Danio rerio: one gene and its partner. The protein of the gene in region 2 binds, or shares a complex with, the protein of the main gene of each other region. Links are inferred from orthologs where the notes say so. Each region holds a gene or a part of one and is shown on either strand. Other genes may lie near its edges.

Region 1 (3,741 bases), on a different chromosome or scaffold from region 2:
CTGAAGAGAAAAGAGAAAGAGTCTGTTATTTTCATTTAGGTCTTTGCAGACTGTATGCTTTAATAACATTTTTTATATAACTGTCATCTGTTTCACTTGATTTGCTTTTGTAAAACATTTTCTGTGCATTTTGAGTGACCAACATGTAGTAAATAAACCTTTTTAGAAATGATGTACATGTAAGTCTGGGTAGTGTTTACCATATTTTTACTTTCCTGGTTTTATCATACCCATTTAGACATGACCATTGACTGCAAAATTAGGGTGCTTTTACACCAAGACGTTTGTTTCAGAATCTGACGTATTTGCTCAGTTAGCTTGGTTCATTTGGCATACTGTATGTGAACAGTGCAATCGCGCTCTGATTCGCTCCAAAACAATCAGTCCAAAATCGCCTGAATGAGGTGGTCTCGGCTTGATTGAAACAAACTCTGAAGTGTATTGAATGTAGTGAGAAAGCAATACAATCCAGGCAATGACAAACCAGGCAATATCACAGTGTATTATGGATATATAATAGCCATATATGCTGCTATATGAATGAGAATTATGAGTAGGGCAGGACTTCATCATTCTTACCAGAATATCTGTGTTTCGAGTCAAATATGAAAGTGAAAGCATGGTAAAATTTTTACGAGAGCTGTTTATCCGTTTGGAAAATTGAGCGAAATTACCATTTGATATTTTTTCTTTTCTTATTTTATCTGAAATCTACATTTGATTGTCAGTTTTTCAGAAATTATTCATTATTTCCTCAAGCAGTGCATAAATTGATCATTGGGAAATTGTGGCTCAGTGAAAACCTGTCAGAAAATGCAAACAGCACAGTCTTGTGAAAAGCAAATTAAAACCTATAGTCATTAAAGGGCTGTCATTACAACACAGCTACTGCAATTGTGCATCTATAAAAAGGTGTCTGTTACATTATCTTGATTTGTGTCAAATGCTTAGGACATCGTTTGACATGGGTAGATTTCCCCATCTGTTCCAATCTTCTAACATTTTATGTTATTCCCATATGGTACAAGGTCAAGGTCAATGAATACTTTTTATTTGATGATGGAAAGTGGAAGTCGATAACACTTTATTTTAACATGCATTTGAGCATTAGTAGAAAGTTTGCTTAATATCTGTTGTTACTGACATTAACCAGTCCTTCAACAGACATTTAACTAACTATAAGGAACTTTTCAAGTACATGTCAACTTACACTAACCATAACCTCAACCCACCAGTCAGTCTACTTACAATCTAATGAGAATTAGTTGGCTATAGATGCAATGTAACTTAAATTCAACAAACGGACCATCAAAATAAAGTGTGGCCAAAAAGTCAAGTAATTTTGTTTTAACAGATCAATAATAACAAAAATGGGTGTCGTGGGATGACATTAATTTACAAACCTGAAAAATTATCACATTTTGAAATATCGGAAATATTGTTTTGGTCATTCTAAAGTCCAAAGTTTATCAGCAAAGTGGCTCAGTATTACCTCCAGAACTGTGTTGAGCAGCAGCAATCCCAAAGAGCATCTCAGATATCCTAAAACAATCTTTACCTTCTTATTATATAAGAAAAAGGCCCTAAGTGGCTTCTCCTAACCAGCAAATTAAATTAATCTTTTTGCTATGTGGCACCAGTTTGTCAGGAAGTGATGATTGTTCTCTTCGGCTTATTGGATGGAAACAATGCTTTATTCACAAATGTTTTATGCGATATTCCAGTTTCACGCATAAGCCTGATTTGCAATCTTGGATGGAAACAAAGCTAATGTAAACCCATAAGTGGTAGTCTGTGACTTAGTTTGAGCTCACATGAAATAGATCTTACAAAAATCTTCCAATTATAAAAGCAGAAGCCAAATTAAAACCCACCTGAGCTTCTCGTCCAGAGCCCTTCTTTAATTTCTGCTTCCTCATGTCGTCGTACTTCTTCCTGCTCTCTAGATACTCCGTCACCGCCTCACTGTTCTGCTTACTGTCACCTACTGTCATCAAAAATAAAAAACACAAAAGTGATTACAACCTAGATACAAGATATTAATATCTCCTTAGGGATCAATCTATCCATTATTGTATATTTTATATATATACTAGTGTGACTAACTTGAAAGGATTTACATGAAAAGAATACAGCTGAATTCCAAAGCAGGAGTTATTACTATCATATGGACATAACTATGAAATACATAAAGTTTATACTGCTATAAACTTAGATGAAGATGACAGCTCCTGTGGGCCGCTTCCTTCCAAGAATAATCATATGGCCAATGCCAAAATTTAGGTCCTAAGACCCTCATCAGTGCAAAGGACAAAATTTATGACTTTTGCAGTCCAAATGACTTTCTGCGCTATAAGGAGATGGATTTTATTCAAATGATGAGGAAACGTGTGTGATATACAGACATATATACTAAAAGGATTACACAAGCGAAATGGAAAGCACATCAAAATGTGTTTATGTAGCACCGGGGCTCTACCATCCTTCAAAATAATCACAGTGAACACTACAAGATATAAAAAAAGGGAGAGAAAGGACAGAGGAGAGTTTCCTCCATGATAATATAAAAATCAAGTTTGACAGCATTTTGCTGCATAACTGCACAAAATGCATATTAAAAAAGCACTTACAACTTTTAAATGATAAATGATTAAAAAAAAAAAAAAACGAAATGAACAATCATTTGCCAAACAAATTATTAATATAAATGCATTAATTTATATTTATTGATACAATTAAAAGCATGCCAAACTGCATGTACCTGATTTTTTGTTATAAATTTTCTACTACTTTATAATTTGGTAATGATTGTAATTGTTATAATAATAATATTTATATATCATTTTATTTATATATATATATATATATATATATATATATATATATATATATATATATATATATATATATATATATATATATATATATATATATATTTATATAAAAGTTGGTAAGACTTAGGCCCAATCCCAATTCTATTTGTGTACCCCTTTGTACCCCTTCCCCTTGGCCCTTGAACAGAGTGTGAAAGGTAAGGGTTTCAAAATTTACCTCTAAGAAATGGGACAACACTACAGCACTACAACACTACAGCCCCTTCACACATCATCCTAATCTCTTGTTTCATATGAGATTGACGATCGTGACTGCTGTAGTTATTTCAGTTGCGTGATTTTTTTTAATGTGGTTCAATATAATGTGGCAATAAGATCATAACTGAACTGTGCATTTACACCCAGCAAATAAACACACAAAAACATCATCATCATTATACCAGACACTGTAAAAAGGTCATTTCCTGCCAATAGACTTTCTGACAGGGAATTCAAGTGTTATTGAGTGTCAGAATGTTGTGGGATTACTATACAGGATTTATTAACATGGATTATAGATAGCAAAATACAGCGGTTTTTATTTTAGCGTTTTTTTTTTTTAAAGCATGACGGTAAAACAAATGCGGTAATGAAAATATTAAAATATATGCTTGTGTGTTATAAAAATCCATTATAACGGCAAGACGAAACCTCATTTGTGCATCTCTTTACTTTAGAGTGCAGCCTCGTTGCTGTTGTGGCTGGTGTATCTGGGAAACAATCTTACCCCTTGCTTTCGAGTGTGGTTTTAAAAAAATCTCAGTTTCAATGGGTATCTAGCCCTTCCCCTTAGCCCTACACTAAGGGGTAGAATTGGAATTGGGCCTTAGTCTTTTAATTTTGTATATAAATTAAATGTTTAACAATA
Region 2 (4,361 bases):
AAGACAAACAACATTAACAAATAAAATTAGATAAAAACTTAAAATAGTTTAATTCTACCATCTTCGAAAGATTCACTTTTTTTTTTTTTTTTTTTAAATAGTTGCTTTAAGGCACAGGTGTCAAACTCAATTCCTGGAGGACCAAAAGCTCTGGACAGTTTAATTCCAACCCTAATTAACCACACCTGATCAAACTAATTGAGTCCTACAGTCGTTTGAAACCTACAGGTAAAGCGGCAGGCACACTGCACCCCTATAGACTTCCATTTATTAGCAAGTAAATGCCTTAGACAGGAAACGCAAGCTCGTGCCACAAGTTTCGCAGTTCGATGTGTTGGAAACTTAAAGCTTGGTGAACTCTGACCAATAGAAGATCAAAACACGACCTCTCTGTACAGAAATTTTAAATATGGTCAAATCGTAATCAGCTTGTTTAATCCCGCCCCTTTTTGCAGCACCAAACGGCAGAATTTCACATGCTCAAACTGTAGTGTGGGGAAGCAGGGTTGCAACTAAACTATGCAAGACTGCGGCCCTCCAGGAACAAAGTTTGACATCCCTGCTTTAAGAACTCTCCAGATAAAAATGGTTATCTAAAACATTTTAAACAGGGCATTGCAAAAGTATCAACTCGAGTTGAGTTTTATTGTCATTCCGCTACATCTGTGGACACACAGTGAAATGTCTTGCAGGACCACAGTGCAACATAAATAAACTATCATAAATATAAACAACCCTTATAGACATAAGAGCGATTTTAAACCTATACATAACTACATAGCAGAGCAGTAATTAACTATACATGTACTAAAGACCTTTTTGAGGGATGTAAACAATAACAATGGTCCTACTGTATTTTCAGTAGCTTCTGAGAGTCCAAAAAGTCCCACATATTGATAGTTACAATAGCTGTTATAATAGCTGTTATATAAGTTATGAATGAATCGCCTCTTGTTACAGATATGAATTGACAACAAGCAGGAAATATTCATGGGCCAATGGCATCACCACATTGAAACGGTCTATAAATAGTAAAAAAAAAAAAAAACTTTACGCATAACCTTAGACAGACTATACAAGTACTTTTATATAAGACAGAACAATATTGTGCAAAAGAGATCATTTAAGGTTGAAGGAAATGACCAGTTAAACAATTTGTGGTACAGTCACAGGTAAACATTGTTTTTTTTTTTTTATTAAGTCCTTGTAAGAGATCTAGAAAAACTTGCATTTAGAGAGATTAGCATTTCTACAGGTGGTTTGTCAAGCCCACTCACCTGTGTGAACCAATCTCAGAAATGCACAATGTTTTATAGAGCTATGAAGTGGTTGAAAGAGAGGGTCTGGTACAAATAGACAAAACTAGTGCAAGTGTGTCAAGGAGTGTTTATAAAGCCCACTCACTTGTGTAAGGCACACTCAGAATTGCTAAATATTGAGGTTTTCATATGAAGTGTATATGCTTGACAGCTAGGTTGCCATTACAATATTTACATTTTTGGCCACCTTCTGCTTTAAGCAGATGTCTGTGTGTGTCTAGCATCTCCATAATGGCATATACAACGGTATGTCTCGAGTTAAAAAGAATAGTTTAAATTTTCTTCCTACTAAGGAGCTGGATTTTCATAGAATCGTTAACTCTTTTAAACATACCTGCATGTTCATGTACCCATCCACTGACACCAGGTAGCCCTTGTACTCCATGCCCCACTTCAGCTTCACCATCACAGGCTTTCCTGTCAGACCATTCAGAAAGGGCTTTGGGTTCAGCGGCAAACTCTGAGGGAAAAGATCAGTGTTACACAATTAACATCATTCGAAATCAATCCCTAAGTGTCATTTTCAAACAATTCCATGTCAACATAATATTGTTCCTGAAGAAGTAAAATACTACAAATGTTGATGATTTTATTCTCAAGTGAGTGAAAAGCTTAGAAGAAACTTTAGCATAGCCTCCGGTGATGCTCAGTCATATTTGACCAAATAGAAAAAAAAAAAGATTTACATTTTGGGTTTTAGTTTTTTTTCTTCATCAGCTTGTTATAACTTTTAGTAAAAAGTTTTGACACTAGCCGCATGAATTTACACAAGCAAAATAAACAAATAATAAAAACAAAACAAAAACAGATACAATTGATATGACTTCATTTTAAATTGTAATGACAAATTCTCATTACTGTAGTTTGTGGTATAAAAAATCAAAACACGCATGCATACACACAATATATATATATATATATATATATATATATATATATTGTATAACTTCAATAAAACAATATAATAATTTACAGCATTAATTGTTTTTGGTTTCCACCAGAATTAGCTGCAAATAAGCATCAGTAATAGCAGAAAAAACTCCTTTAACGTTAGTTTTTATCTTTAGTTTTCCCACACATATATCATTTAATCGCATTTTGGGAGTCACCGACTAGGTTGTAAGAGAACAAGGAGGAACATTTATCAGCAAAGCTCAACATTTCTAACACAACACTGAAAATGACTGAAAACAACGTCCAGTCTGCGTTCCTGATGCTAACACCTAGCCGCATTATCAGCGTATTTATGAATGAAAACGTCTACGCTCTTTCGCCAAACTGAAGGTTTGGATACAAATAAAAGAGATAACGATGAACTTACCATGACTGGATTACTTAAGTAGTATTTTCAGACACAAAAATTGTTTATTTGAATAGTATAAGCTAATGCAGCACACTCGCACGCCTTGCCGCCGAAAGAGGGAAGGACTACGAGCGCACTTTGACCGCACGGCAGGAGAGAAGAGCGGATCTGCCCGCTGCGCCACTCGCTGGACAGGCGGGGAATAGAGCCGTGAATCCTCAGTTGAGCTGGAGTGGAGGTCTGAAATTAAAGAAATAGTTTATCCAAAAATAAAAATGTACTTACTATAAACTATTTCCGTTTGATGATGTCGTTGGCCCATAAACATTTCCTGCTTGTTATAAAACTGTTTCACAGCTGTATCAAGAGGCAATTCAACCATAACTTAATGTTAAAACAGTTCTTATAACATTATTTATCAATATGTGGCTCTTTTTAGATTCTCGGAAGCTATAGAAATTTAAAATGTAAAACAGGAAATACGTAAGGACCATTGTCTTTTGTTTAGATTCCTCAAAATTGTCTATATAGTCACCCTTGAGGGGTTTCTAACCTTAATGAGATTCTTTTTTTTCATTTGAAAACAAAAATAAGATATTTGGAAGTATGTTAAAACTGGTATTGTTGTTTCGAAAATGTTGGACACCGGTAACTATTGGCTTCTATTGTATTTGTTTTTCATCATATTATAGAAATGGTTACCAGTTTCCAAACATCTTCTTTGGTGTTCAGCAGAAGAAATAAACAAGTGAAGGGTAAGTAAATGAGAACATAATTTCATTTCATCACTATCCCTTTAAAAAAATTAATATGTATAAATTATTTTATATATTTATTTTGTACCATTTTTAACAACTCCCAAAACAGCAGCAGTGGATCATTTTATCATTTCATTCAACGAGAACGGAAACTTGCAATCATTTACAGTCTTTTAGATTTGTATTTGAAAGCACAACACATCTAATTTCTCTTTGATTTGTACAGTAATTTAGCTTTGCAAAACTATTGACCCTCAATTATATAAATAAAAAAAAATGCAAATATCCCACATCAATCATTTAACCGAAGACTTGCCCAGTAGGTTTTTGCATTTCATTACCATCTATTCAAAAGAGGTCATGTTTGAAATGTCATGTACAGTGGTGGATAGTGATGGACAATATTTTCTTCCCCAGAGAGGGTGTATATAGTTAGGTTAGTTAGTTAGCTAGCTAGTTGGTTAATTTATTTGTCCCTGTAGGGTAATTTCATTTGCAGTATACACTCACAGAGACAACTAACATTTCAAATTTGCCATTTATATAAATAAATCATGAAAAACATGGTACCCCTACTCTAAATAAATATCTAGACTACTGGCCATCAACTGCTACTGAGGGAGGAGGAATTTAAAAACTTAACTGCTTACGGTATAAATTAAGATTTTGTCCTATTTCTCACTTATCTGGCAACACAATAGTGATGACCTGATAATAACACTTGGAAGGTGTATGGAAAAGGATGTCACTCATCTTTGACAATCATGATAGCCTTATTTAGTACTCTTTCTTTGTATGTACTATCTATCAATGCTCTTTAGTTTTATTCCCAACAACTTATTGGCTGTAGTTGCCACCTTCCCCAGCAGTGACCTTTTCTGGGCCTCAGAAGCATGTCCATACAAACAGATCACACAAAGTGTTGCAGTACTTGAATAAAAGTACTATAAAACATGATAAACAATGTGTTGTCAACATTAA

The links. The genes of interacting proteins can lie anywhere in the genome.
Region 1: snrpf (region 2) and cwc27 share a complex: the UniProt entries of both Homo sapiens proteins name them as parts of the minor spliceosome. The link is inferred for Danio rerio from reciprocal best matches to the Homo sapiens genes SNRPF and CWC27.

The regions. Positions count from the first base shown.
Region 1 is NC_133185.1:12,136,525-12,140,265, reverse strand, and holds part of cwc27 (spliceosome-associated protein CWC27 homolog), read right to left. Parts: intron 1,988-3,741; coding exon of another isoform or gene 1,985-1,987; coding exon 1,875-1,984; intron 1-1,874. UniProt on the Homo sapiens protein: As part of the spliceosome, plays a role in pre-mRNA splicing. Probable inactive PPIase with no peptidyl-prolyl cis-trans isomerase activity. As a component of the minor spliceosome, involved in the splicing of U12-type introns in pre-mRNAs.
Region 2 is NC_133182.1:19,363,799-19,368,159, reverse strand, and holds the start of snrpf (small nuclear ribonucleoprotein F), read right to left. Parts: upstream 2,831-4,361; 5' UTR 2,644-2,830; coding exon 2,641-2,643; intron 1,780-2,640; coding exon 1,654-1,779; intron 1-1,653. UniProt on the Homo sapiens protein: Plays a role in pre-mRNA splicing as a core component of the spliceosomal U1, U2, U4 and U5 small nuclear ribonucleoproteins (snRNPs), the building blocks of the spliceosome.